4 linked regions of the Lonchura striata genome follow. The protein of the gene in region 1 purifies or fractionates together with the protein of each later gene. This does not show direct contact. Links are inferred from orthologs where the notes say so. Each region holds a gene or a part of one and is shown in the gene's direction. Other genes may lie near its edges.

Evidence for each region.
Region 2: the proteins of USP22 (region 1) and ATXN7L1 purify together in Homo sapiens (affinity purification with mass spectrometry; 3 studies listed by BioGRID and IntAct, with this or other methods). This does not show direct contact. The link is inferred for Lonchura striata from reciprocal best matches to the Homo sapiens genes USP22 and ATXN7L1.
Region 3: the proteins of USP22 (region 1) and TADA2B purify together in Homo sapiens (affinity purification with mass spectrometry; 4 studies listed by BioGRID and IntAct, with this or other methods). This does not show direct contact. The link is inferred for Lonchura striata from reciprocal best matches to the Homo sapiens genes USP22 and TADA2B.
Region 4: the proteins of USP22 (region 1) and TAF6L purify together in Homo sapiens (affinity purification with mass spectrometry; 3 studies listed by BioGRID and IntAct, with this or other methods). This does not show direct contact. The link is inferred for Lonchura striata from reciprocal best matches to the Homo sapiens genes USP22 and TAF6L.

Annotation. Positions count from the first base shown.
Region 1 is NC_134618.1:15,148,588-15,156,217, forward strand, and holds the start of USP22 (ubiquitin carboxyl-terminal hydrolase 22), read left to right. Parts: upstream 1-4,628; 5' UTR 4,629-4,721; coding exon 4,722-4,847; intron 4,848-7,630. UniProt on the Homo sapiens protein: Deubiquitinase that plays a role in several cellular processes including transcriptional regulation, cell cycle progression or innate immunity.
Region 2 is NC_134607.1:59,798,739-59,806,192, forward strand, and holds the start of ATXN7L1 (ataxin-7-like protein 1), read left to right. Parts: upstream 1-4,435; 5' UTR 4,436-4,594; coding exon 4,595-4,709; intron 4,710-5,197; coding exon 5,198-5,266; intron 5,267-7,454.
Region 3 is NC_134606.1:11,778,378-11,785,349, reverse strand, and holds the start of TADA2B (transcriptional adapter 2-beta), read left to right. Parts: upstream 1-3,959; 5' UTR 3,960-4,014; coding exon 4,015-4,284; intron 4,285-5,522; coding exon 5,523-6,515; 3' UTR 6,516-6,972. UniProt on the Homo sapiens protein: Coactivates PAX5-dependent transcription together with either SMARCA4 or GCN5L2.
Region 4 is NC_134638.1:392,941-400,093, forward strand, and holds the start of TAF6L (TAF6-like RNA polymerase II p300/CBP-associated factor-associated factor 65 kDa subunit 6L), read left to right. Parts: upstream 1-4,152; 5' UTR 4,153-4,251; coding exon 4,252-4,398; intron 4,399-5,038; coding exon 5,039-5,125; intron 5,126-5,648; coding exon 5,649-5,799; intron 5,800-6,121; coding exon 6,122-6,172; intron 6,173-6,263; coding exon 6,264-6,358; intron 6,359-6,455; coding exon 6,456-6,530; intron 6,531-6,811; coding exon 6,812-7,032; intron 7,033-7,111; coding exon 7,112-7,153. UniProt on the Homo sapiens protein: Functions as a component of the PCAF complex. The PCAF complex is capable of efficiently acetylating histones in a nucleosomal context. The PCAF complex could be considered as the human version of the yeast SAGA complex.

The DNA of each region.
Region 1 (7,630 bases):
TCTGCTCAGCTGAACCAATCCTTTATCATGGAATGTTGTGGATTCAAGAAACCACTCTGTGTCCTATGCTAAGGCTGGGCCACATGGAAATCTCTGCTCTGGTACCTACCAGGTGCCATTGCCAATGGATTGGGATGAAAACACGGCTTTTTAGAGAAGCTGGCATAGCTGGGACTTTACAACCCATTTGGTTTTGTAGCAAGGTCAGTACTCCATCCCCAGGATAAATGACAGGGACCAGTGTTTCCCTACAAACCTTCAGGTATCTGAGGTAACTCAGCTGAACTTCACAGGGATTCAAAAGCAAGAAGCTTCAGGCAGAATCACACAATGGATTCTGCCTGTGATATCTCCAGAGCTTTTAGCCCTGCAGCCAGACATTCAACCTCATCTGCTTTAAAGCCTGTGGATTAAGCAATGGCAGTACTACTTGGATGGAAGGTTGCAATGCTTGGATGAGAAAAGGCTTAAGCTCAAGGGAAGAAAAAATTCCTGAAGATTAAAAATAGGGTAATTTTTAAGAGATAAAAATGTTTTTTTTAGTCTTTAAAATATTCTTCTGTGTTTTGATGAGCAGAGTTGTTCTGTAAATTCTTTCCTTTTAGAATGTGGAAAAACTTGTATTTTTTAGAGTGCCTGAAAAAATGCAGGAGAGGTACTGAGGAACCTTCACACATTCTGTACTGGTTATTAGCATGGAGAGCCTTGTGCTTGCAGGAGCAAAGCTGCTGAACATCTCCCTTCAAATCCACTTGTGGAGCCAGGGGCTTCAGCCTCTTGCAGATCCAAATTTAGGCCAGCTCCACATGTAATCCAGGTTTATGGGAGGAGTCCTACCCAAATCCTTGATGCTGCTCACACACCTGATCAAAGTGAAAGGTTCCTGTTTACCTGAGGATGAAATTGGACATTTTAACACATATCATGGCAAAGCATGCCCGAGTGATGAGGTAGCAGCTGATTCATGGCTATCCAGAGGAGCCTAGAAGTGCCACCTTGGGATGGCATGGATAGAAGAGGCAGTTACTTTGCTTTTCCATGTGAAGAATGCTGCTTCTCCCCAGCTGAGCTATCATGGAATGCAAATGACTCTCTGGAGGAAGACTTTGCTGCACATTTGCAGTGTGTTTTAGCTACTATCAACATTTATATTCCACTGGCATTTGAGGGTAAGCACTAATTAGCATAATCATCAATGCTTTAAAATTAAAAATTCTTCCAAGAGACACAGGAGAGAATGAAACTCTCTCCTTCCCCCAGAGGCAAATCCTTTCCCAAGCTATCTGCTACACCAAAAGGCTTTATTCTAGAAACATTCCCAAGCCATGTCCAAGAGTAAATTAAACTACAGCAAACTTGTAAACTTGTGTGAGTGTGTGTGTGTGTGTGTGTGTGTGTGTGTGTGCAGAAAGCAGGCCCTGATTTGACAATTACTACCTGACAAAATGTCGTCACTATTTTCCATTCCTATTTTGTTTTGGCTGCTGCTCTGCTGTTGTGTCACCTTCAGTGTGTGGGCTGCAACAAGCAAGAAATATTTGTAGAGCTGGAAGTTTTTATACTTCATAGGAAAGATTCTGTTGTCTTCACAGGACAGAAAGCAAACGGTTTAATGACATTTGTAGAGTTTTGTCTCAAGCCCCCCAAATCAGGAATTGGTCTCAAAAAATCTCCAAAGCCATTGTTTTCTACACTGTTCCAAAGTGGATTTTTACTCTGGTTCCAATTTACCACAAGAAGCCCAATTTGAATTTCTAGCATAAATAAACCCCTTTTATGGAGAATAAGGTGCCAAGGGAACCTTGGGGGAGCTTTAAGTTTGAAAGGTAATGTCTATACTTTGGAAATATCTCCTAAGAGTGATCTTTAAATTTCTACATTGATGCCTTTGGGAAATGACAGTAGGTCTCAGCAGGTGTGCTCCAGGATGGGTGTCCTCCATGTGGGGCCTTTGTGACGGATGCTCCTCACATCCTCAGCAGGGTCAGAAACCTCCAGGACAGGAGTAGGTAACTGCTAATTGTTCTGGAAGCGGCCAGAGAGAAAGATCAGTATTTTTCCAAAGGTTCTCTCTCTGAGAGAGAACCACTAAAAAAGTAGGTGTTTCTTAAAGCAATTGTGTTTAAACTCACAATTCTTGTTATTTCTACATAAGACACCCTAAAGGGAGTAAACACAGGGACTCTGCAAGACAGAGTGGAACAGAAATCTCTGTGAAAATTTCAGAGTCTGCAGGACATTGAACATATGTATTGTCTCTTTGGTATCCTGTTTTTTCAGTGAGATGGACTTAAATTTCATTGGCAGAAATTCTCTCTTTTATCTTTATCTCCTGTTTTGATGTGGTAGCCATGGAGAAAAGCCCCAGATTAGTAACAGTAGGTTGGTGCAGAATAAGAATAACTTTCTGCTTGTATTTAGACTGCAGCAAAATCAGAGGTTTTGTTTAATTGGAAATATTCAGAGAATAATTATTAGATGCTGTTAGGACACTAATCACCCATCCTGTTCTCTTCTATGCACCTTAACCTCCCTCTTTTCTGAGGGTGGTTTTCTCAGGGGAGGGGCTGGCTCTCTCTGACTCCTGCTTTTGAAAACCGATTAATTCTCCTGGAAGTTGGGTTAACACGGGAAGGATGTGCAGCACCAATTCCTGTTCCCTTTCCAAGGAAGTGTAGGCTGCACTGTGATGACTTAATAGGTCTAATGATTACACAGGGTCAAAGAGAGGGTACAGCCTCCCTCCACATTCCACTCATAATCTTCTGAAACATTCAGTGCAATTTGTGTACACAGCGGGATAATCGGGCCCTCTCCCGGCTCTTGGCATTTTTTTTTTTTTTTTTTACCACCTGTGGGGCAATTCCAGGTTTATCACTGGAGCATAATCCCCAGACTGTGTGGAAGAGGTATTTCTGGGAGAGGCTAATAAGTAGTTTGAGCCAGGAGATGGAACAATTACAGGTGTCCTGCTGCTGTCCCAGCCTGGGCCACAAACCCAGCTCTTTGCCACCAAACCTTCTAGCTACACACAAATCATAAACTAAGTTGCCTACTAACCACCTTGCTTTCTTTTTTTAAAACAGCAGCACCTCAGGAGGAAACGGAAAGTCCTCAGGTGATTGTCACTGATTTTTGTATTTATTGATTGCTAGCTGCAGCAGCAGGTGAGGAAACTGGGCGCTATAAGGAAATCTGCAAGGTGAAGATTTCAAGGTTACGGCTCCCGAGGAATGTCATTAGCACGCACTGAAAAGTGGGGTTGGTGAAATAACGTGGGTTTATTTCCCCGCTTATTTCCTTGTTGCACAGTGTTTGCAGTGCTTCTCTAAGAAGCCTCAGCAAAGCCTCCGGCCTCTCTCTTCAGAAACCACGGCGTAATTCCCATCCTTTCCCTCCTGCCTCACTCCACTATGTAACCCTATAATGTGTGTGACATACAAGCTGAAAACTATGTAGAGATTCCAACATTTTTACACCGTCTTCCCATTTCCTTGTATAGGAAGAAGCTGAAATAACACCAGTTTTGGTGATACAGCGCTTTTGTTTCTTCCCTGTGGAACACCAGGATGCAGGCTGGCGGTATGGAGGGACCATACATGGTGCTGGGAGCGCTGGGAGCGTGGCGCGGAGCCTCCCCCGGGAGCCCGGCGGTCCCGGTCCCCTCAGGAGACCGCTGAGGGAACAGCGAGAGCGGGACCAGCGGATGTGACAGCAGCGCAGCCTGCTGCGCGAGGGACCGCCCCCTCGCGAGCACAGCCAATCCGATCTCCGCTTGCAGCGTGACTGACGTCTACGCCGACCAGTCATAGCGCCGCTCCCACCACACAGACCCCGCCTTTTCTCCCCGTTGGTCAGAGAAGCTGTTAATCGTCCGGGATGTCCCGCCTCTTTCCGGCGGGGGAAATGCTAGGTAGGAAGGGTGGAGGGGGAGAGAAGAAAGGGAAAGGAACCAATGAGACACTAGAGATGGATAGATTGACAGGGATGCGGACCAATCGCCGCGCTCCTTCCCCCCGCCGCTCCCTCCCTCGCGGGCGGCGGGGCAGAGGGGGCGCTCCTCCCGCACCTTCCCCGTTGGTCTATCCCACTCCGGGCCGGGCGGGCTGGGTTGAGTGAGCGGCTCGGACCATTGCTCGCGGCGGGCGGGGGGGGCGCGGGCGAGGCGGAGGAGGAAGGAGCCGGCGAAGGAGGCGGGGGGGCGGTTTAAAGGGACAAGAGCCGTGCGGGCGCCGGCGGGGGAAGCCGGAGCGGCGGCGGGCGGGGACTCGCCCCCTTCCCCACACACGCCCGCTCGCACCGCGGCCGGGGTCGCCGCCGCCAGCGCCCCCATCCCCTCCCTTCCCCTCCGCCCGCCGCTTCCACAGCGGCCTCTATGAGGTAGAAGGGAGCGGCGGCCACTCCGGGGGCGGCAGCGGCCGCTACAGCCGCCGCCTCCTCCTTCTCCTCGCCTCAGAGCGCCCCATCTTTGTGTGTGCGGGAGAAGGGCGGGAGGGAGTGCGCGCTGCCCGCCCGCCGCGCTTTGTTCGGAGCCGGGGGGCCGTGGCGGAGCCCCGGCTCTATGTGCCAGCGGCTCCCCGGCGGCGGCGGCGTGAGGGGCCGGAGCCCCTGAGGGCGGGGGGGCCCCGGCCCGTGTCGGTGCTGCGGGGCGGGGGAAGGGGCCGGCTCGCTGCCCGCCGGCCCGGCCCGTGTGCGGGCGGATTGATGTGGGGGGGTCTGACATGAGTCCGCCGGCGGCCGGGTGCTGCCATGTGACCGGCTTCAAGGTGGAGAACTGGAAGCAGAACCTGCGGGCGATTTACCAGTGCTTCGTGTGGAGCGGCTCGGCCGAGACCAGGAAGCGCAAGGTACCGGGGGCGGCTCGCATCCACCCCCCTTCCCTTCCCTCCTTCCTTCCCTCCCTCCCCGACCCACCCGCCGCCGCCTCGGGGAGGGGACGGGTCCGGTCCCCCTCTAGCCCTCCCTCTTTCCCTCCCCACGGGGCAGGTGGGCCCGAGCTCCTGCACGCGGTCCCGGGGGAAGGGAGGAGGAAGCGCTCGGTGCCTCCGGGATGGCGAGGGGGGGCACCGGGATGGAGGAGGGAGCCAGCCCCGGCGGGGCCTCCCTCCCTGCCACCTGCCCCGCCGGCTTTTCCGCAGCGGGGCTGTTCCGCAGCGCCGCCGCTTCCTCCTCCTCCTCCTCCTCCTCCTCCTCCTCCTCCTCCTCCCGGAGGTTTCCCGGAATACCGGGGGGAGGGGAGGCCCGGGGCACCGGGCACGTCCGGCCTGTGGCGGAGCTTTGTGGAGCCCCGCGGGGCCGCGCCCGAGCCCGGGGGGCTGCGCGGAGTACAATGGCTGGGAGCGGGTCCCGGCGCCGGGGGCTGCGGCTGGCTCGGTTATGTGTGTGGTTTTCCTTAAAAAGGAAAAAAAAAAAAAAAAACAAATCCAAAAAAAACTACCAAAGCTGTTCGTGCTGATAATCCACTTGGAAAAGGGGATTCCTGCTCTGGTGGGGCAGGGGAAGGGAACTGGTTCAGCCTGGAGTACGGGGAAGGGCAGGAGGGGTTTGCTCTGGGAGCTGTTGGCGCCTGGGAAAAAATCCCTGTAAACCAGGCAAAAAGCAGGAAAGCTTTTCCTTACCTATCTCCTATAATAACATCCTTATACCCATGCATGTTTCTCTGGGGTTGGTCTATGCACTGTGCAACTAATTACTGTTTTTCCCTAGAATCAACTAGTTTTTACTTCAAAGTGACTTGGCAGATTTCTGTCAGTCGTCGCATTGGTGACTGAGGAGGGGAAGGCAGCAGCTGCACGGGGCAAAACTTGGGGTTTGGGACAGCACGGATTGTGTTTTTGTTGGAACAACCCATTGAAAACTTCCTGATCCCAGTGCTTTGCATTAAGCTGCTCAGCTTATTATTTGTAATAGAACTAGAGCATGAAGGATGGACTTAAAGGGTGAGGTGCCAAACCATTTCTCTGTGTTCAGTTCATGTTCTCAGGATGATCCAATTTCCCAATTTTTTTACCTAAAGAGGAAAAAATGGAATCTGAGAAGAAATACGTGTTAAATGGATTTAATTACTTGATAGCCCTGCAAAGTATAGCCAGACTTGTTTTAAATACCTTACAATTCCCTACAGGTCAATATTATGGAGTATATTAGTCAAAATCTGGGTTTATTTAGCCTATAGCATGTTAAAATACAAATTGGGATATAGTTGATGGTGCTTTCAGCTCAAATGGAGAAAAAATCGTGTCTGTGCTGTGGAAGAAAAAAATGGCAAGTGAGGTATGAAGATGTCTCAGACAAATATAAAGCAAATGCTATGTGGAAGAATGAAAGTAAAATTTCATAAGCAAAATTACCTTTTTCTAAACATGGAGCATCCTGTGTAACCTGCATACCTCTTGTGTGCTGCAACAGCTTTTTCCTTCTGAAATCTAATGTAGGGATGTGTTCATCATTGCTTGAGAAAACAGCTGAAAATACAGAATATTCTATTGTAATCAATCTGTTCTCACTTCCTCTTTGTACAGCCAGGCTCATAAAGTAGAACAGGATTGTTTCAAAATTATCTGTCATCCCAGGGAAAACACCAGTTTTCCTAATACATGCTAAAAATGCTTTTCCCCCCGCTTTTTTTTTAAAGCAGGTTGCCAGCATGAAAACAGTTTCTGAATCCGGCCCACCTGAAATATGTGGGTGTACATGATCAATATGGGGGAACATTTTGGGTAGCTAAATTGGGATCCAATTCCCTGTGTATGTTTGTAAGGACTGAAAACAAGTCTATAAATGACAGTTATGGTACTTTATTCACCCTTTCTCTATATGAACATGAGACCTTCAATGGAATTTTAATTCACTGAAATTCTCTGTACAGATGTTTGCCTGACAGTTTTACATGTAAAATTAGAAAAAGGATGTTTTCTGTTTGGTGGCAGATTTATAGTCTAATAACTAGAAATAAAATTAGCTAGAAATAACTAGAAATAAAATTAGGATAGTCCATATAACTTGAAAACAATCCTTTGTCCTTTAATAGTTTACATACACGTATATTATGTATAAGTATATGTATATTCTAGGAGCAAGCTGTGACTGCTTAAGAGCACCTGTTTATTGGTGAAGATTCTTCTTAATCCTAATAATCAAAATGACAAGGCCAAATTAAAGGTTTATTAGCAAGTGATATTCTTTTTATTACATGATCAAGGACAGTCACATTATATGTTTATCACAGAAACATTCCATATATGTAATTGGTCTTTATGGAAGGCACTGGGCAGTTTAACTGTTGTTCAGATGAAGGTAGGTATAAAAATGCTTTGGCTGTTGGTGAGAGCCAGATGTAAATGGTTCTGGTTCTAGAATGGTAACTACTATCCCTCCTAAGCCTGTCTTAAAAATCCAGGGAGCATTGGGAACTGCAGGGGGCAGAAAGGGTCTGTTCTCCTGCTGTACCTACACTGCGTTGTGCCTTGGCAGACCATTTTAGTGCTGTGCTATTCGGTTTTAATACGCACCTTTTCTGTGAATAAGCTTTTACGAGCTCCAGCTCGCGCTTCAGTTTGCTTTACAGCCAGTGCTTCCAGCAGAATGGCTCTAAAACCTGCTTTATAGTGGGAAAGCTGTCTCCTGAACG
Region 2 (7,454 bases), on another chromosome or scaffold:
CTGGTGCTTTTCTTATGCAAACTCCATCATTCACTATCTGTAAGAAAATCTTGTGATTCATTTACTGCTCCATTTCCACCACAGTAGATACCTGAGTTCTTAAAACTGTCTGCTATGTCATAATTTCTGCAATATAAAACAAAACCACCATTGTGGTAAATCCATTGCACAACAGGATCCTGGGAAGTATTTATGAATCTCCTGCCATACTGCTTAAATCATGACTTTGTTACAAGCATCAGATGTTTATAATCTTGTTATGATATTGAGGCCTTATACAGCTGGTTTTTTATAATACTTTTGTAGCTAGTTTAAAGCCATCTGGTGCACGTATTGCCAGGTATACCTGATTTTGTTGTTGTTGTGACTACACATGCATTCTCAGCACTCTCATAGTGTTTTCTCAGTGTATGACAGTACAGCTGAAGTTAAATCATGTCATTTTATATTTGTACATGGTGACTACATATGATGCTCCTGATAGCCACATGTGAGGATTTCTGTTTTAGTTTGTCATGTCTTCACATTCAGATCCTGAAAATTATATAAAAATATTGGATTGGTCTCCAAATAAGCCAAATATCGATATGCAGCTTTGGATCTCTTCTAATGTCATAACTTTTACTGTGTTTTTACAAAGCCCAAGCCTTTAAATATAATTAGAATAAATAGGTGTAGGAACATTTGGTTACTTGTAAAAAAGCTTGCATTTGGAGATCATCTTAGTAAAAGACCAATGATATAAGGATAAAAAGGTTAGAGTTGAGGTTTTATCTGTATTTTGCCATTTATTAATTAAAGGCCATAATTTGCTTATAGTTACTTTTTAAATACCATGTTATGATTGGATCACTCTAGTATTTAGAAGCTGCAACAAAAATCAAGGCTGCATTACCTTGAATTCTGAAAAATCACATATAAAAAGGAAGCTTCTGCTTGGCAACTGAAATTAAAGAATCCTCAGGGACCAGGAAGGGAGAGAAGGACCTTTCCTGGCTGACTTAATTATTTTTCTGTGGCAGAGTGACTTGTTCAAGGTCATAGAAGAATTAAACTTCTGTATTGGTGAGCAGGTGGAAAAAAAAACAGAGGCTGTTTAATCTGCACTTTCACATGCAGTGTTTTTTTTACTGATTTCCTAAGGAACAAATTTTGTGACCATGTTTGTGACTTTCCCTCATTTTTTTCCCTCTCCACCCCTGAATTTTGGCCCGACTGATTAATAAAAACAAATCTGAAAGAGGAATGAAAGTCTTAAATAGGTTTGTCTTTCTAAGAATTTTTGAATCTTGTGGAAGCAGATGCCAGGAGAAGGGAAGAAGAAACCATCTGCATGGTCTGTCTACAGTAAAGCTGCAGCTTGAGTTCACATTCACAAAATAGCATTACATATATTCTTAACAATGGGAAAACTTATAGGATGTCGGATCAGCTCTCTTTCTATTTTGCTATAAGATGGAGCACAATCACAGCTGTCCATAGAACATAAACTAGTTTATTAGGCACCAATGTGGAGTGAAATAAGAGGTCTTGGGGAGAAGTCCTGGTGCAGAAGTGAGGATACTCTTCTGCAGCTTCAGGACTTGCACCCTACGAGACAATGGAGACAAACGGAAGGCTGGTTTGCTTAGGGATGGTGTTATTTCTTGGTGCAGATCATAGAGGCAGCATAGATGTAATCAAAGCAGAACTCACACTCTTTAAACAAAAGATGCTCATCACAGGAAAGATGGGCATATGTGTAGATGTGCCAGTTATGGACATGTTTCAGTGATGAAATTAGTGTTAATGATTGGACTCAATCTTAAAGGTCTTTCGCAACCTAAATGATCCTATGATCCTGATTGTGGAACCATTTGCTTAACGATAATGTTGGTCTTGAATACATATGGTAGGGAGGAGAAATTCCTTGGGGAGGGCTTTGGAAAAGTTTCTCTTAAACTGTAAGTCACTGGATTGTTTCTTTTTAGGAAGGAATTGGTACATCTTGAATCTTTGATTTTATGCTAATTTTCCTTCATATGGTCTGTTTCTGTTAAGAACCTAGACTATCTGTAGTGTGTCATGGTAGGCAGCATGTAGATCAGTGCCATGTGTTAAAGCTGGAAAGTTTCTTCAAATTTTTTTTTTTTTGCTTGGTTGGAGGCAGCTTGTATTAAATACTTTACCCCTCCCCTTTTTCCTCAGTTGTATAGGTAGGAATTGCTTTACTAGTTGTGCATCCTGTGGTAGTGTTTAATATTAGCTGGATACTTGGCCATCCATACTTCCTTGAAATCTAATGTTGGTTTTCATCGATGGGGATTTCCTGGGCGCTCACATGCCTTTCTTTTGTATCTTCTCTCCAGATCCACATCTAGGGTAATGACACCAGCGTTATGGTATAAGCTGTGTAGTTTAAATTCTCTAATTATGAAACTATTTAGCCACTGTCGAGACATTTGCTCAATTATCTTGCAGTGAATTTGAACACAAGTGTCAAACATGGTTGATTTTTAAGTTCATGTTATTTATCATTCCTTCTACAAATTCCATCTTGCTATTCCTGACCAAAGAGTTTTTCAGTATAGTGGGCAAACTTTTCAATCTCAACATAAGCAATTTATGTCTATTCTTTTTTTCTTCCTCATTGATGTGAAAGGAATTATGTGTTCTTATAATTAAAAACATCACACATATTCACTACCAGCTGAATTTTGTTAGACTAAGTAAAACTCTCCTCAAATGACAGAATCTTAATTCCTCGGATCTTTCTCATAACCCTGTCCACACTTCTTTTTTTTTTTTTTTTTTTTTTTTTTTTTTTTTTTTAGGAAGATTAATTTAAATTGGTGGGATAGAACTGCACATAATAGTCCTAAATATATCTTCCCAGGGCTTTGTATTACATCACAACTACCCTTCATGCTTCTGGAAATTCCCTATGTAGCCTACGAAAGGTCATGCATCCTATGCCTGCTTCATGATAGCTGCCAAGAAGACTGCTGTGATTGCCTGGTTTTATTTGAAGGGTATTTTGGTGAGATTTCTGCTTCTTTGATAATGGTACTGAAGTTTCCTGTAGCTAATGTTTACTTGACTGGAGGCACTCTTAGTAGGCTATACAGAATGAAAGCTTTGAGGCTCACCTCCGGGTATTAGGGATGGGACTTGTATATTCCAGCTATTTTGGAAGAGGTGGAGTGTGTTGACAGTGTACATAAGGCAAAGAGTGTTTGTCCCTTGCCCCAAATCTTTATCCATTTCAGCACTGTAAAGAGCTTAGTCTTAATGAAGTTGTGGGAAATTTATTTAAATCCATTCTGGAGTGCAGCACCATATACTTTATGACAGGCAGCAGTGCTGACTTCAGCAGCTCCTGTCCTGCCCCTCTGGCCACAGCTCCAACTTTTGAGCAGGCCTGAAATGATTCGGTAGGTTTTATGTTTGTCTGGTTTTGGTTTTGTTTTGTTGATTTTTTTTGAGTCCACATTAATTCCATGTACTGCTTCAGTATTGCCTCAAAATGGTTTGAACCAGCAAAAAGTGAACGAGTGTCTGGGAAAAGATGCAGGACAAGGATGGGATCACGCAAAACTCATATCACCATGTGAGAAGTGTCTGTTGAACCATTCACTTCAGTCATCACCACTGCTAATGGTGTTGCAGAGCCGTATGAAATACACTACATGAGGGATATGTGAGGCTGCTCAAATGAAACCAAGTCCTTCACTGGGAGCGTTTATATTTGTCTTAAGAGGTATAAGCTGAAGCAACAGGCTTATGCTGAAACTCCTAATCTAGAGCAGGTATACTGAGTATGAAAATATTAACGGTTATTTTCTATTCTTACCTCAGTGGTGAAATAAGCAAAAGTGACACTATCCTAAATGAAAAGCATTTACGTCCCATAGATTATGTAGAGCGAGATGAAAACCTCGGTATTGTTTGAGAGTAGCCGGACCTGCGAGTTCAGAGCTGCTGTACCGTAGCCTAGAACACCAAAACGAGAAAAATCCCATTTGCAAGCAGACGAAGCCTACTACAGATCAGGCAATATCTGGACAACAAAATGGCTGTGGCTGTGGCTATAGGCGATCCACAGGAGCGCAGCTGGCAGTAGGGGAGCGGGGGAGCCCCAGCCCCGCGCTCCGGGTGCAGCGGCCGCGCTGGAGCGCGGAGGGGCCGCGCCGCAGCCACCGAGAGCCCGTCCCAGGCACTTACTGCGGGCGCTGCGGGGCGCGCAGCCCCGAGGCGCGCGCGGCCGGCGGCTGCGCCCTCCCGGCGGGGCTCGGCGGGCCCGCGGCGCTCCGCCGGGCGGGCCGGGCCGGTGCCGGAGCGCGGCGCGGCGCGGGTCCGGAGCCCCTCGGGGCGGGCGCGGGCCCGCCGCCGGCGGCGCGGGGCGCAGGCGCGGGGGACGCGGGCATGCGCGCTGTGCGGCGGGGAGCCCGATCTGATAGGGAGCAGGGGCTGACACTACCCCCGTGTGGGCGGCGGAACGTCCCGAGGATGACGTGCGGCGTTCTCGAATCCCGTGTCTCGCTCGCTCGCTCGCCGCCGCCGCCGCCGAAGGAAACGGGAAAAGCAACAAGGAGGCAGGAGCAGGCGCGGCGCCATGGCGGCCCTGGAGCGGCCCGTGCCCAGTCCCGAGGCGTTCCTGGGCCAGCCCTGGGCCGCCTGGGTGCGGGAGGCCGCCCCCCCGCACGCGCACGGCGCCGCCCCCCCGCACAGTAAGGGCAGGGACCGGCCGCGGTCCGGCTCCGCACGCCGCTGCCCCCGGAGCGGGGCCGGGGTCCGGCCGGGCCGCCCCCCCTCCGCTCCCCTCCCTCCTCCCGCCGGGGCCGGGAGGTGCCGCCCCCCCGGGCGCTCAGCTGACGCTCGGCCGAGCCCCCGTGCCATGTGTGCGGGAGGCGCACGCCGCGCCGCGCCTGCCGTGCCGCTGCCCCGCGGCGCTGGGCCGGCGCCGCGGTGGGGGAAGGGGGCGAGGGGGAGGATGCGCGGAGGGGCCGGAGGATGCCGCGGGCGGGGAGGCGGGGGCGAGGGTGCTGCCGCGGGGGGCCCGGCGGTTCCGCTCCCTGGCAGATGCTCCGACCATTGTGCTTTTGCTGTTGCAAATAGAAACACTGCTCACCTCCTCACCTCTCCTCCTCCCCTCGCCAAACAATAAATGCACACCTTAGGGCCCTCGGCGCTTCCTGACTCTGCTTCTCTTCTGCAGGTGTAGATCTGGAAGAGACTGGAAAGGAGGGTGGAAAAAGCAGGGAGGTTATGAGGCTTAATAAAGAAGGTAAGTGGATAGTGCTGGCACACCTCTCTACCTGTCTGTCTCCTGGTGGTTGTGAATGACTGTGGTTTGGCCTTGACAGGGTGGTCTGATAGCATATGTATTTCTCTGCCATAAAGAACGTTTCAGGGTTGGATACATGCAGATGACTGTCACTGTGTCAACTTCTTTTGAAGTAAGGTGATAACAGGTGTATACGTGCAACTGACAGACATGGTAAAAGATAAGACAATTTTGAGGCATAAGACAGCTACACATCAGTGGCCATATTGGATTATTCTGTGGACCCTGTCCCTTGGTGCAACATTCCAGTTGCTCGTGTGAAGATAAGCATATAAACTTTAAACGTTATATTTTTATTGGCAACTTAGTGGAGGTGTTTTCCCTTGCAGTCAGAAAGGGTTTGTTACAATCTTTGAGTCCATTCACTTTAGCTCAAATCACATTTTGTTTTTTTGTTTGCACTGCTGTGTGTCACCTACAGTCACCTGAGCAGCCCGCATCAAATATTATTTTAGGTTGCGCTAAACCCATGCATATTATGCAAAAACAAATAAAATTAGTCATTTGGGCCATAAGTTCTTCTGGTACCGTCAGTGTGAACAGGCAGACTCCAGCTTAGCGGTATTTGCCAATATGCCCGGCCTGTCACAACTCTGTCAGCTGCAAGAGGAGAAACATTTTGTTTGTGATGTGTGTCATTAACATCATGTTGAGGTAACACCTAGTGCAACTAGTGAAATAGTACAGGATGATTTTTCAAGTAGTTTGTGTTTGTTTCTGTTTCGTTAAGAAAGTGCTTTTCATACACAATCTCTCTGTCTTGGGAAGTCGGTTCATAATGAACGATCCCATCATAGTGAAACTTTGGTGCGACTTACTCTGCTGAGAGGAATCCCGCTATTACCTGTAATGTCACAAAATACATTCTGAAATGATGTTAAGTTTCTCATTACATTACAGTTGTCATTACACGTGCGATCGATTTTGAGCATCTTGGCAGCTCAAAGGAATCTTATGTTTTCTAAACAAGATCTTGAAAAAAGAATGAATTAATGAGTAAACTAGAGTTGTGTGATTAACTATAAAATTGCATGGCATATGCATTAAAGTTATTTAAAATACCATAAAACTTCTTTTTGAAAGACCTGTACAGAGAAGCCAAGCTTGATTGTGTTCCTATCTTGATTCTTATATGCCTGAACCTCTGTATTTTGTCAGCCCAAAGATAAGTTAGCAGCAGAACTGGGATTTTCATGTAGTTATTTATAGGTAAAAGGTTCAAGGCTCTGTACATCTATCAGTAATGTTGATTCAGAAATAATTGAGCAAAAATTTTGCTACTTCAGCCGTGCCTTCATAAGGAGCTTAATTTGTTGAGATAAAGCATTTTGTGCTCAGAAGTCCTTGAACACAAATTCCTTTTATAAGCATGGGACATAAAGATTGAAGCATCTCTGCTTCTTAGTTCTACATAATATGCAAATTGTTTCCTAGAAAGATTCAGTTTAAATTCAGTTCTAGTCTTGTTTGGTTTTTGGGGGGTCAGAGACTCCATCAAAGAAGCTCTATTTAAACTCACTATCCAGAAAAACTACTTCCAAACAAAGCATATGTCATTGCTGACATTATGATCATGACAGGTGTGAAGCACTTACTGGCTTTTATAGTACTTATGTCATAATACTGTGTAAAAAAATCCCAAAATTGACTGTTATATTTAGAAAATAAAAAGCCTTAGGGATGTTACTGCTTTCAAGTAGTAACTTGTGTTAGATCACTTAGAACTTCCATGAAGTTTGAATAAATTAGTATGTATCGAAATATTTTTACTATAGTCACTTAGGCAGTCTGTTTTCACCACACCCATCTGTGTGTCTGAACACCCACTGTAAATCTTTCTTAGGCCCCACAGTCCTTATTAGTAAAGGTGAGGGAAAATTTCAAGAGTTAGATTGGTCTGCAGGAAACATTTCTCATGTAATTACAGAAATGCTTGTGCTTTTATTCTGAACTTGCTTGCATGTTGTGTGACACGTTGAATTTTTTTGCCTGCTTTGTTCATAGATGTGGCTAGGATAGGTCTGAAAACAAAACCCTACTCCTTTTTTTTTTACAATCTTACCAACTTGAGTAGACCTTTTTAATGGCATATGTGGTGCCAGGAGATTTTAAGTGGTGTCTTAGAAAA
Region 3 (6,972 bases), on another chromosome or scaffold:
CTGTAACAGTAGCTGGATCTGGATTTTAGATAACTGGTGCTGGAATTCTAAATAATATAAGGACCATTTCTTTAGAAAGGCTTCTGATTTTATAGGCTGTGGGTCCCATTTACCAAAGAAATCATGTAGACATAGAACTACATTCCTTTCTTTTAAGAAAAAGTTAAGTAGAAAGTAAGCTTGGAAGAGAAGACAAACTAGCAGTGCGAAACTAATTATTCTTTGAGATGCCTTGGAAATTGATATTCTAAACTGGATACATATGGAGAAAATTCCATGCATCAGACTAGATTCCAAACTTGCCAAGAGGGTTCTGGTGTTAAGGTGGCATAATTTCCCAATTTGTACTTTTTCGTCTGTTCAAAGCCTAGGTCACATACTACCAAATACATGTTACATGTGTCCCTCTCCTGGGGCACTGCTGCTTCACGATGTTCTTGCCCACCATCTACTTCCTGTGTGCCACGTGTCCAGTCATGGAAATAAAACTGGACTTAGCAGATAAACTGGGAAGTGGTTAAAAGCAATTTTGGTAGTGACTTTAAACCCAGCTTTACTCACTGGCAGAACTCGGGAGGAAGGGTGGTAGGGGAGCAATTAATGTTCGCCAGCGTTGCTGGTGAAAAGAAGAGAGTTTGTGGAATCTCCTGAAGCTGCTGCTTCTGCCAGAGTGAGAAAGTTATGTGGAGCAGATTCCTAGTGTGACAAGTGAAAGAAGTTTATTGGGAAATGTGCCAGCCACCATCAGGAAAAGTACAAGCTGTCATTTTTGAGCATTTTATCTGATCTCTAATACATGAGAGCAAGTTACAGTGGCAGCAAATGGATGTTACATAAATCCCTCATACATCTTAGATCCTCTTTTCATTCAGGTGAATGTTGAAGGGCAAATCATGAGTGCCTCTGATTCACAAGAATGTTTATTGCATAGTGTATAGTGTAAAACCTGTTTTATACTAACGATGATCATTGAAAAGGGAAAGGTAACTGAAGCAATATTCGTGTTAACTGTGAACAGGCGTTACTAAATCCTCCAGCTGTATGGTCAGCAGTTTCCCAGTGCTCTTCAGCTGCTTTATGCAGATTAGTTTGGCATTGTCTGAATAAAAACAAGAAGAATAGTTGCACACTGCTCAACTCAACATACAGTGTAAAGGACTGTGGGACAATCAAAACATTGTCCTTTGGTACAGACATTATTTCCATGAGGGATAATTTGATTGTAATATTAAGAAGAGTGAGAACAAGATTTCCTGGTAAGTGAGGACTCATCATCGCTTTGAAAGATGTGTAATGCAAATGCAGCCTGCAAGTCCGATACCTCATTGACCTCTTCTCCTGTCCTCTTTGTGCAGCTGGTGTAATGGATGTGGTTTTTTGTTGGTCATCTTAATTCCACCACAAGACATCACCTCAGTCATCACTTACTGAAAACAGATATTAAGATATGATAGGAAACATGTTATTTCACTCAGAATTTGTACAGAATTTGTCCTCCAATGACTGGTACTTGTATGCTCAATTGCTTTGAAGTGCAATAGAAAGCAGGAAGGTCAGTAAGTGTTTTTTAATATTACTTTTTCTATTACTACAACAAATATGCCTTTCCATGAGGAATACGAGAGGCCTACCATCCAAAACATTTGCACTATGCTTTTAAACGGTTTATGGAACATAGAGATCACTTTTTCTCAATATACATGTTTAGGTGGTACTGTAACTGGCTTTGTGATTTAAGTCTTCATTGCAACTACATTTGTATTTTCTTTTAAAGCAAGTCTACAAGTGTGGCTCATTTGTCTGGTTAAAAAAGCATTTTTTAGCTACTAGGTATCTTGGCAGCCATTAACAGCCTGTTTTTTCTCTTTTCAATAAGATGTTGAATGTAACAGTGACAGTGGGCATAGTTGTGGGGAAAAGGCCTGCTGCAACACTTGTGCACTGTTTGTTACTTGCAAATGTAATTACTTTGTTTTGTGATTTGATCTGTTCTTAGAAGTTGTATATATTTTCTAAATGATTTCTTTGTGTATATAAGGTATGTTCTTTAATGAAGAAACAGCAATGCAATAAGGAGCTTTGCACAGTTTATTTTCAAACAAAATACATGTGAAACAAATCACCTGCCTAAACATGCAATTATTTCAACTTCTCAATAACTTGATTTGAAGGTAATGCTTGAATTTTGATAAATACAGAGCTGACTAGTAATGGCATAGAATTTCTTGCCACTGAGCTTTTCACTTTTCTTGCAGTATACCAAATCTCTTAATTAGCTAATACAGAAATTTTCTTTAAGAAATTCAGGGAATTGCATTTAAAAAAAAGACAATTTAATTGTTCAGGTACTTGAAAGTATCTGTAACAAGATGCATGAGATTTTCTTTCATGGAGCAAATGTCCCCATCAAGCAAACTTTCTTCGTGGGTTTAAAGAAAAATTAAACCGCTGCAATACATGGAAAGTACCACTGTATGTGCAGCAGATCAGAGAAACCAGAAAACTCCAACCAGCTTTGGGATTCTTTACGATCTGCACTTTATAATAAAGCAGTTTTGCAACTTTGATCTGCAGTCAATCAGTAATGTTATTTCATCATTTAGTAAACAATTTCATTTGGGAAAAAAAGGTACCTTGTAACAGCTTATTTTTGAATGTTTTAAAACAAGAATGATATATAGAGAAGTGTTGGTACATCTCCTGTACATCACGTTTAAATTGGGTTATGTAATTACCACGTTTGTTTTGTTTAGATATGTGTATCAGACTGGAACTTTTTTCAACTGTAAATATATGGTTTTGTTAAATAAAGTCATGTAAAGTTATCTTAATCAACTGTTGTCAGTGTAATTTAGATATTGAAAATTCCAGTACTAGTCTTTTTCTTCACAGGTGGCTTTAGCAGTCTTCTGGCTTTCTGGCTTTTTATCTGAACTGCCCCAAAGCAGCACAGCATAATGACATTTCTGCATTTCCAGCTGCTGACTCAGCAGCTCTGCAGTATTTTTCCTCGAAGTCCTGAAGTGGTGTCTCAGTTCCAAGCACCCCACGTTTCTGCTGCAGTTTCAGGTTTCTCCTCGGCCTTTCAGGTTGTTTCTCTGGCTGCCTTTATTTTGGTCAGGATATCGCTCTCCTCTGACACGTTTCCCACTCATCCGTTCAGGCTTTCAGCTTCCAGTAACTCCAGCTTTGCCATGAAGTGGCTGAGAATGTCGGTCGGTTTCATACGTTCTTCTTGAGCTTGAGAATTTCATCACGGATGGTCGAGCTCTTCACGTGCTTACGCTCACAGAGCGTTGAGCTGCTCTCTCCGAGCAGTCACGCTGGTTCCAACAGCTGGGGTTTCACGCCTCAGCCTGATGTTTTCTACGTGAGCCGAGACACCTAAAAGCAGAATCGCTTTATGTCTTTAATGCTGGCCTGACGGGGCAGGGTGCTTCCATTGGGGCTGTGCGGCACTGACGGGCTCCGGCGGTTCCATTGGGGCCGGCCCGGCTCCGGCGGCTCCATTGGGGCTGTCCCGGCTCCGGCGGCTCCATTGGGGCTGTCCCGGCTCCGGCGGCTCCATTGGGGCTGTCCCGGCTCCGGCGGTTCCATTGGGGCTGTCCCGGCTCCGGCGGTTCCATTGGGGCTGTCCCGGCTCCGGCGGCTCCATTGGGGCTGGCCCGGCTCCGGCGGGGCCCGGCCCGGCCCCGCTTCCCCCGTTGCCGGGCACCCGCGCGGCCCCGCCCCCTTCTCGAGCGCGGCCCCGCCCCCGGTCGCGCGCGGCCCCGCCCCCTGGCGGGCGGCCCCTGCGCGGCCGCTCCTCTCGGGGCGGCCGCTCCCATTGGCCGCGGCAAGGGTAGACGAGTCCGCCTCGGCCAATCGGAGCCGTTCCCTCGCGGTGACAGCCCCCGCGCCCGCCAGCCCCGGCCCCATTGGTCGGTGCCGGCCGCGGCCCCGCCCCCGGAGCGCGCTGCCATTGGCGGCGCGGGCGGCGGGGGCGCGGCCGCGCGCGCGCGCGGGCGGGGTAAGATGGCGGAACTGGGGAAGAAGTACTGCGTGTACTGCCTGGCTGAAGTGAGCCCGCTGCGCTTCCGCTGCACCGAGTGCGCCGACATCGAGCTCTGCCCCGAGTGCTTCTCGGCGGGCGCCGAGATCGGCCCGCACCGCCGATGGCACGGCTACCAGCTGGTGGACGGCGGCCGCTTCACCCTCTGGGGCGCCGAGGCCGAGGGCGGCTGGAGCAGCCGCGAGGAGCAGCTGCTGCTGGACGCCATCGAGCAGTTCGGCTTCGGCAACTGGGTAAGGGCCGAGGGGCGGGGGCGATCCTCCTCCTGGGGCGGCGGCCCTGACAGCAGCCCCGGGCGCGTCCTGCGCTGCGGGGCCGGGGCTGCCGCGCTCTGCCCGCGCGGTGCGAGGAGCGCCCCGCAGCTCGGACCTGCCGCTGCTCGAAGCTCTGCCTTTGCCGCGGCCGTGTCACGGGTCTTGCACTGCCGCTTAGCCGGGCTCGGCCTCTGCCGTCAGGGTGTCCCAGCTGCGGGCTGGCTGCTGCCTTCAGTGCCACTGCACGGCCAGGCTTGGGGTTAAAAAGCAGCGGTGAGAAAGCTTCATCTCAGTCACAGAACGGGCCAGGCTGGAAAGGACTCCCGTGGTCATCCCGGAGCACACTGCACACAGCTGCATCCGGACGGTTCTTGACTGTTAACAGTGAGGGAGACTCCACAGCCTCTCTGGGCTGTCTGTCCCAGTGCTCGGTCACCTGCACAGTGAAGAAGTCCTTCCTCATGTACATGTGGGACTTCTGTGCATCAGTTTTTGCTTGTTACCTTTCGTGCTATTGCTTGGCACCACAGAGCAGAGCCTGGTCCGTTTGACACCTCCCTTGAGATACTGATAGACATCGGTGATGTCCCCTCTCAGTTGTCCCTTCTTGAGGCTGAACAAGCCCAAGTCCCTCAGCCTGTCCTCGTAAGAGAGATGCTCCAGTCTCCCAGTCATCCTCATTGCCCTCTGCTGGACCATTTGATTCATTTTTGATTGATTTGATTTGTTGTTACTTATGTTTTGCTTCATTAAGTATAAATACATTTTCAAAACCTTAAAGTGTATAATCATTGCAGCTTGCTTAGTTCTTAAGTAACTAGAAAGGAATAAAAATGGTTACTCGTACAGAAAAGACTGTTTATTTCCATGTTGCTCCTCAGTAATGTGATATAAACAAGCAAAAACCCAAGCCATACAGTGCTGTTGGTGTTGGGACTTGGAAAGCTTCTGGTTATGGTGAGCTGGCTTTGTGGGAGTGCCGTGGGTGCTCAGGAATCACCATGTGGTGCTGGTTTGTGGCTTACTTGCACCCATCGTAAACACTCATCCAGAGCTGGAATTGCAGATCTGATAGAAATGTGGCTGGTGTTGCTAGAGAAGTTTAGCTACTGGGAGCTGGATTTGAGGAGCAAGGAAAAACTCATGCTGTTTCCTGAGTGCTCATTATGCTGGAGATGTAATGGGCATCGTTTTATCACTCCTTTTTTTCTGTTCAGGAGGACATGGCTGCTCACGTGGGAGCATCCCGAAGCCCTCAGGAGGTGATGGAGCACTACGTGAGCATGTATATCCACGGCAACCTGGGGAAGGCCTGCATCCCTGACACCATTCCCAACAGGGTGACGGACCACACGTGTCCCAGCGGCGGCCCGCTGTCGCCCAGCCTGACGACGCCGCTGCCGCCGCTGGACATCTCGGTGGCGGAGCAGCAGCAGCTGGGGTACATGCCGCTGCGCGACGACTACGAGATCGAGTACGACCAGGACGCCGAGACGCTCATCAGCGGCCTCTCGGTCAACTACGACGACGACGACGTGGAAATCGAGCTGAAAAGAGCTCACGTGGACATGTACGTCAGGAAACTCAAGGAGAGGCAGCGGCGGAAGAACATTGCGCGAGATTATAATTTGGTACCGGCCTTCCTGGGGAAGGATAAAAAAGACAAGGAGAAAGCACCCAAACGAAAAATCACAAAAGAAGAGAAGGAGTTGAGGCTAAAACTGAGGCCTTTGTACCAGTTCATGTCTTGTAAGGAGTTTGAAGACTTCTTTGAGAACATGCACAAGGAGAGGATACTTCGAGCGAAGATTCGGGAGCTGCAGCGGTATCGGCGAAATGGGATCACCAAAATGGAGGAGTCGGCAGAGTACGAGGCGGCCCGGCACAAACGGGAAAAGAGGAAGGAGAACAAGAACATAGCTAGTTCCAAGAGAGGGAAGGAAGAGGGTAAAGAAGGTGAATTTGCTGCCATTGAAAACCTGCCTGGCTTTGAACTCTTATCAGACAGGGAAAAGGTGCTCTGCAGCTCTCTGAACTTGAGTCCTGCACGTTATGTGACTGTAAAAACTATCATCATTAAAGACCACCTCCAAAAAAGACAAGGGATTCCTTCAAAGAGTCGCCTTCCCAGTTACTTAGATAAGGTACTGAAGAAAAGGATTTTAAACTTTCTGACAGAAAGTGGTTGGATATCCAGGGATGCTTCATGAAATTCAGCTGATCTGAAAAAACACAGCAGAGGCCCGTTACAGCCTCAAGGACTCCGTTATTTTTTCCTTCCCTCCCCAAAGATACAGAAACCATGTCGCTTAAAAACACAAAAGAGCAAATACATAAACTTCACAGTCATCATGATCCATGGTGGTATAAACAGACTTTTGCTTTGGATCATGGAAAATACTTAATTGTGAAACTTCTACATTGGATTTCACTGCTTTTGGTACATTCTTAGAACAGATTTTTTCATGTGAACTTACTGAAGTCCAGTAGTCCCAGAGTAGTTGCTTTAGTCCATACTATTGGATAAATATCAGTGTAATCCTTGCTTTTCTTTGAAGGTAGGAGATAGTTTCATTTGCTGGAAACTTTCTTCACCCTTTGTTTTGTTTGGGTTTTTTTGCATAATGCTGGCAGCAAAGTGAAGCTTACAAAAGTCCTGTGCTCAGG
Region 4 (7,153 bases), on another chromosome or scaffold:
TCAGTGCCTGCAGCACCCGCCCTGCAGGCACGGGGGGGTCAGGGGGTCACCAACCCCTGGGATTCCCCAAAATCCCCACCAAGACCCCCTCAAATCCAGCCAGGACTCCCAGATCCCCCCGGGACCCCCCAAAAATCCCCCTGGGACCCCCAAACCCCCCTCACCTTTGCGCAGGTCGATCACGGCCACATCCCCCCGGGCGCTGCCCACGACCACCGAGCTGGGGAGGGGGGAAATGGGGCTGGGGGGGCAGCAGGACCCCCCCAGGCACCCCAAATTCATCCCCAGCACCCTGAATTCACCTTGGGCACCCAAATCCCCCTCCCTAGGTCACTTAGTGGATATCTAAATCCCTCCCAAAGCCTCCCAAAGCCACCCTAAATCCTCTTAGGACCCTCAAAAATTCCCTCAGGACGCCCCACGAACCCCCCCAAAATTCCCCCACTATTCCCAGGACCCCCCAAAATCCCCCCAAAACCCCCCCAGGCCCCCCGGCACTGACGTGTCCCCGGCGGGCAGCGCCAGCGCCGTCAGCGGCGCCTCCCCGAAGGTGGCATCGAGCACCGGGCGGCGCCGGGGCGAGGAGGGGTCGTAGAGACGCACCTGGCACAGGTGAGGGGGGCAGCGGGTGAGGCCAGGTGTCCTCACCTGGCCGTGCCCCCCCAAATAACCCCAGGTGACCCCAGGTGTCCTCACCTGGCCGTGCCCCCCCAGATGACCCCAGGTGTTCTCACCTGGCCGTGCCCCCCCAGGTGTTCTCACCTGGCCGTGCCCCCCCAGATGACCCCAGGTGCCCCCAGGTGTCCTCACCTGGCCATGCCCCCCCAGGTGACCCCAGGTGTCCTCACCTGGCCGTGCCCCCCCAGATGACCCCAGGTGTTCTCACCTGGCCGTGCCCCCCCAGGTGTTCTCACCTGGCCGTGCCCCCCCAGATGACCCCAGGTGCCCCCAGGTGTCCTCACCTGGCCATGCCCCCCCAGGTGCCCCCAGGTGTCCTCACCTGGCCGTGCCCGGTGCAGGTGACGATCCGCTGGGACCCGGGCAGGAACTGCAGGTCCCGGTCCCAGACGGGGACGCGCAAATCCAGCCAATCGTTCCTCACCTGGTGTGGGGACAATTCCAGAACTTTGGGGACAATTCCGGAATTTTGGGGACATTTAGGGACAGTTTGAGGATGTTTGGGGACAATTTGGGACCTTTGAGGACAATTTGGGGGCAATTTCGGACCTTTAGGGACAATCTGGGACAATATGAGGACAATCTTGGACATTTGGGGGTAATCTGGGAAATCTGGGGAAAACTTGGAACAATTTGGGACATTTGGGGGCAATTCGGGGTGGTTCCAAGGTGGTTCTGGAGTTGGTTTTGGGGTTGTTTTTGAGGTTATTTTTGGAGCGGTTCTGGGGTGTTTCTGGGGTTTTGGGGGGGTTTTTTGGGATTGTTTTTGGGTTGTTTTGGGGGCGTTTTTGGGGTGGTTCTGGGGTATTTTGGGGGTTGTTTTTGGGGTTATTTTTGTAGTGTTTCTGGGGTGTTTTTTGGGTTGTTTTCAGGGTGGCCCTGGTGCGTTTTTGGGGTTGTTTTTGGGGTGTTTTTGGGGTGTTCTTGGGGCGGTTCTGGGATTGGTTTTGGGGTATTTTGGGGTTGTTTTTGGGGTTATTTTTGTAGTGGTTTTGGGGTATTTTTTGGGTTGCTTTCAATGTGGCCCTGGTGCGTTTTTGGGGTTGTTTTTGGGGTGTTCTTGGGGCGGTTCTGGGATTGTTTCTGGGGTATTTTGGGGGTATTTTGGGGTTGTTTTTGGGGCTGACTCACGTTCTTGGCACGGAACAGGGGCTCCTGGGGCCGCTGCAGGTCCCACACCTTGAGCCCGTTCTCCTTCCCCCCCGTGGCCACCACGTGCGGCCGCGCCGGGTCCTGGCGCATCCGGCACAGCCCCGGCCCCGCCTGCAGCTCCTGCAGGGGCTGGGGGGCACCGGGGTCACCCCAAAATCCCCACGCCCCAAAACCACCCCAAACCCCGCTCAAATCCCCGCAAAAACCCCAAAAAACCACCCCAAACTGCCCCAAAAACCCCAATTCCGGCACAGCCCCGGCCCCGCCTGCAGCTCCTGCAGGGGCTGGGGGGCACCAGGGTCACCCCAAAATCCCCCAGGGACCCCCAAAATACCCACACCCCAAACCCTGCTCAAATCCCCACAAAAACCCCAAAAAAACCACCCCAAACCCTCCTAAAAACCCAAAAATGCCCAACAAAAACACCCCAAACTTTCCTAAAATCCCAAAAAAACACCTGAAACCCTCTTAAAAAACCCTAAAACCCCACCCCAAATTGCCCCAAAATCCCCAATTCTGGCACAGCTCCACCTGCAGCTCCCACAGGGGCTGGGAACGGGGAGGGGTCACCCCAAAACCCTCCAGGAACCCCCAAACCCTCCTAAAACCACCCCAAAACCCCCCAAAACACCCATTTTTGGCACATCCGACCCCACCCCCAGGTCCCAAAAGGGGCTGGGATTGAGGAGGGGTCTTGGGGTGACCCCAAAATCCCCCCCAGACCCCCTCACTCACCTCCTCAGTCTCCTGCTCCCCCCAGACCCGGACCAGCCCCGACTCCACTGCGGTGACCACGGAGCTGGGGGGATTTTGGGGGGCTCAGGGGGTCTTGGGGACCCCCCCCTAGCACCTCTGGCCCATCCCCCACCCCCCAAAAACCCTTCAGGGAATCCCTGGACACCCCAAAACCCCTCTGGAACCCCCCCAGAACCCCTGAACCCTCCCCAAGATGCCCCAAAGACCCTTCAGGGATCCCCTGGGTGCCCCCAGACCCCCCCTCAAAGCCCCCAGAACCCCCCCCAGACTCCCCCAAATCTCTCCCAACCCCCCCCAAACCCCCGGTACCTGCTGAGCACCCCCAGACCCCCCCAAACCCCCCAGGATCCCCCCCAAACCCCCCAGACCCCCCAAACCCCCCCAGGATCCCCCCCAAACCCCCCCAGGATCCCCCCAAACCCCCCAGGATCCCCCCCAGGATCCCCCCAAACACCCCAGGATCCCCCCCAAACCCCCCAGACCCCCCAAACCCCCCACAGGATCTCCCCCAAACCCCCCAGGATCCCCCCCAAACCCCCCAGACCCCCCCAAACCCCCCGTACCTGCCGAGCACCCCGAGGCCGCAGAAGGCGCCGCCCCCCCCCGGGCAGAGCCGCCCCCCGGTGAATTTTCCCTTCTCGGTGCTGAAAACGCTGACGGAGCGATCCAGGGCCCCCACCAGCACCTGGGGGGGTTCGGGGGGTTCAGGACACCCCCAGACCCCCCCCCAGACCCCCCCCCTCCCCCCGGGACCCCCGACTCACCTCGCTCTGGGCCGGGTCCCCCCAGGCCAGCGCTGAGACCCCCCGGGCCCGGCTCAGCCCCTCCCCCCCGCGTGGTTCCAGGCCTCTCTGCGCTGCAGGTTCACCCCTGGGGGGGCACGGGGGGCTTGGAGACCCCCGCGGGACCCCCCAAAACCGCCAGGAGCCCCCCCCCGGGACCCCCCAAAACCACCAGAAACCCCCGGAACATCAGGAACCGCCCCGGGATCGCCCCAAACAACCAGGACCGCCCCCCCCCAAGACTTCCAGAGTCACCCCGAAAGTCCCAAGACCCCCCCCGGGACCCCCAAAGTCCCCCCACAACCCCCGCGACTCCCCCAAACCCGCGTTCCCCTCCCCCAAACTGCCAGGACCCCCCCCCCAGACCCTCAGGATCGTCCCGGGACCCCCCCCCGCGGCCCCCAAAACCCTCCCGACCCCACCCTAAACCCCCGGGACCCCCAAAATCCCCTCCAAACCCCCCCGTGTCCCCCCCCCCCCAAACCCCCGGGACCTTCCCGGCCAGCCCCGGGACCCCCGAAGGTCCCTCCCGGTTCCCCGAGATCCCCCCTGAGGGCTCCCCCTGATCCCCCCGAGCCCCCCAGGACCCCCCCCGGGCCCCCCCCACCTTTCAGGGCTCCGGTCTCGGCCCCCACCCAGACGTGGCACAACCGCGTGGGCGCCGCCATCTTGGCAGCCCCCCCCCCCGGCCCTTCCGGCGCGGGAACCGCGAGCGCGGCGGGACCGTTCCGGGCACAAAAGTTCCGGGGGTTGAGGGGTGCTGCTCCCGGCACGCCCCGCGCGGTTCTCATTTGCATAACCACGCCCATTCCGCGACGTTCCCGGCGCGCTTCAGGCGGGCTGATTTGCATGCCCCGCCCCCGTGGGCGTGGCCGGCCCCGCCATGGCGGAGCGGGAGGAGCGGCGCTTCGTGGAGCTGCCCCGGGACTCGGTGCGGCTCATGGCCGAGAGCGCCGGCCTCGAGCTCAGCGACGAGGTGGCGGCGCTGCTGGCCGAGGACGTGTGCTACCGGCTGCGGGAGGCCACGCAGGTACCGGGGGTACCGGGAGTACCGGGGCTACCGGCTGCGGGAGGCCACGCAGGTACCGGGAGTACCGGGGGTACCGGGGGTACCGGCTGCGGGAGGCCACGCAGGTACCGGGGGTACCGGGAGTACCGGGGCTACCGGCTGCGGGAGGCCACGCAGGTACCGGGAGTACCGGGAGTACCGGGGGTACCGGCTGCGGGAGGCCACGCAGGTACCGGGAGTACCGGGGGTACCGGCTGCGGGAGGCCACGCAGGTACCGGGAGTACCGGGGCTACCGGCTGCGGGAGGCCACGCAGGTACCGGGAGTACCGGGAGTACCGGGGCTACCGGCTGCGGGAGGCCACGCAGGTACCGGGGGTACCGGGGCTACCGGCTGCGGGAGGCCACGCAGGTACCGGGAGTACCGGGGGTACCGGGGCTACCGGCTGCGGGAGGCCACGCAGGTACCGGGAGTACCGGGAGTACCGGGGTTACCGGGGAGACTCGCGGGCAATCCCGGCCCCGCTGCCGCTGATGCTCCCGGTCCCGCCCAGCGGTTCCGGTGCCATCCCGGGAGCGGTTCCCCATGCCGGTCTCGCTCTTGGTGACGGTTCCGTTCCCGTTTCCTTTTCCTCGTTCCCGTTGTCCCGTCCCCGCTCCCAGAACAGCTCGCAGTTCCTCAAGCACACGCGGCGGCGCCGCCTCACCGTGGAGGATTTCAACCGAGCCCTGCGCTGGAGCAACGTCGAGGTGAGGACTGGGGACACTGGGGACACTGGGGGGGACTGGGGACACTGGGGACTTTGGGGACACTGGGGACTTTGGGGACACTGGGGACACTGGGGACACTGGGGGGGACTGGGGACACTGGGGATATTTGGGACACTGGGGGGACACTGGTGGCACTGGGAGCATCGGGGCTGTGCCAAATCCCTGCAGTGTCCTCAAATTCTCAGGAGTGCTCCCACTGTCCCCAATGTCCCCTCACTGTCCCCAATGTCCCCTCACTGTCCCCAATGTCCCCTGTCCCCAGGCCGTGTGTGGCTGTGGCTCCCAGGACTCTGTCCCCAATGTCCCCAATGTCCCCTCATTGTCCCCAATGTCCCCTCACTGTCCCCAGGCTGTGTGTGGCTGTGGCTCCCAGGCCTGTCCCCAATGTCCCCTCACTGTCCCCAATGTCCCCAATGTCCCCTCACTGTCCCCAATGTCCCCTCACTGTCCCCAATGTCCCCTCACTGTCCCCAATGTCCCAATGTCCCCTCACTGTCCCCAGGCCGTGTGTGGCTGTGGCTCCCAGGACTCGCTGCCGTTCCGGCCGCTCCGTGAGGGGGATTTGTTCTTCCCCGAGGACCGCGAGGTGAATCTGCTGGAGCTGGCGCTGGCCACCAACATCCCCAAGGGCTGCGCTGAGACCGCTGTCCGAGGTGGCACCCCAAATCCCCCGGGACCCCAAAATATCCTCTGGGACCCCCAAAATCATCCTGGGACCCCGAAATCATCCCAGGACCCAAAATCATCCTGGGAACCCCAGAATCATCCTGGCACCCCAGATTCTCCTGGGACCCCAAATCCTCTTGGCACCCCAAATCCTCCTGGGAACCCAAAATATCCTGGGGCTCCAAATCATCCTGGGACCCCAAAATGTTCTCTGGACCCCCGAATCTCCCCCTGGGATCCCCGAATTTCCCCCTGGGACCTGCCCAGCCCTCCCCGGTGGGGCGGGGGTCTCACCCCTCTCTCCTACAGTGCACGTCTCCTACCTGGATGGCAAAGGGAACCTGGAGCCGCAGGGAACAGGTCAGGAACGACCCCCTGAGATCCCCAAGACCCCTCCCCAGACCCCCTAAGCCCCCCAGTGGGGTTTATTTTTTGGGGTACCCCCCCGCAGTGCCCAGCGCCGTCTCCTCGCTCAGCGATGACCTCCTCAAGTACTACCAGCACGTCACCCGCGCCGTGCTGGGCGACGACCCCCAGCTCATGAAGGTGGGTGGGGGGGCTGGGGACCCCCTGGGGGGGCGGCTGCCCCTCCCCCCAAGCCGGCCTGACCCCCCCACCCCCCGTGTCCCCCCTCCCCCCTCAGGTGGCTCTGCAGGACCTCCAGAGCAACCCCAAAATCGCCGCGCTGCTGCCCTACTTCGTCTACGTGGTCAGCGGGGTCAGTCTGGGGGGTCCTGGGGGGGTTTGGGGTGAGTTTGGGGGGTCCTGGGGGGGATCGGGTGAGTTTGGGGGGTCCTGGGGGTGTTTGGGGTGAGTTTGGGGGGGGTCCCTGAGGGTTCCCAAGGGATTTGGGGGGTCCCAAGGTGGTCTGGGGTGAGTTTGGTGGTCCTGGGGGTCTCCAGAGGCTGCTGAAAGTTGCTGAGCTGAGCTGAACTAAGCCAGGCTATCCCTGGAGCCCCTCCCCAAACTCTCCCTGCCACCTTCCCCCACCTGCTCCAGGTGAAATCCGTGAGCCACGACCTGGAGCAGCTGAGCCGGCTGCTGCAGCTGGCGCGGAGCCTCCTGCAGAACCCGTTCCTGAGCCTGGGCTCCTACGTGGGCAGCCTGGTGGCCTCGGTGCTCTACTGCGTGCTGGAGCCGCTGGCCGCCTCCATCAACCCCCTCAACGACCACTGGACGCTGCGCGACTACGCCGCCATGCTGCTGGGCCGCATCTTCTGGTGGGCGGGGGGCTCCCGGGGGGGGTTTGGGGGTGTCCCGGGGGTGCCCCGGGGGCTCAGTGCCCGCCTGTGCCCGCAGGAGCCACGGGGAGCTGGTGCGGGGGCTCTACCAGCAGATCCT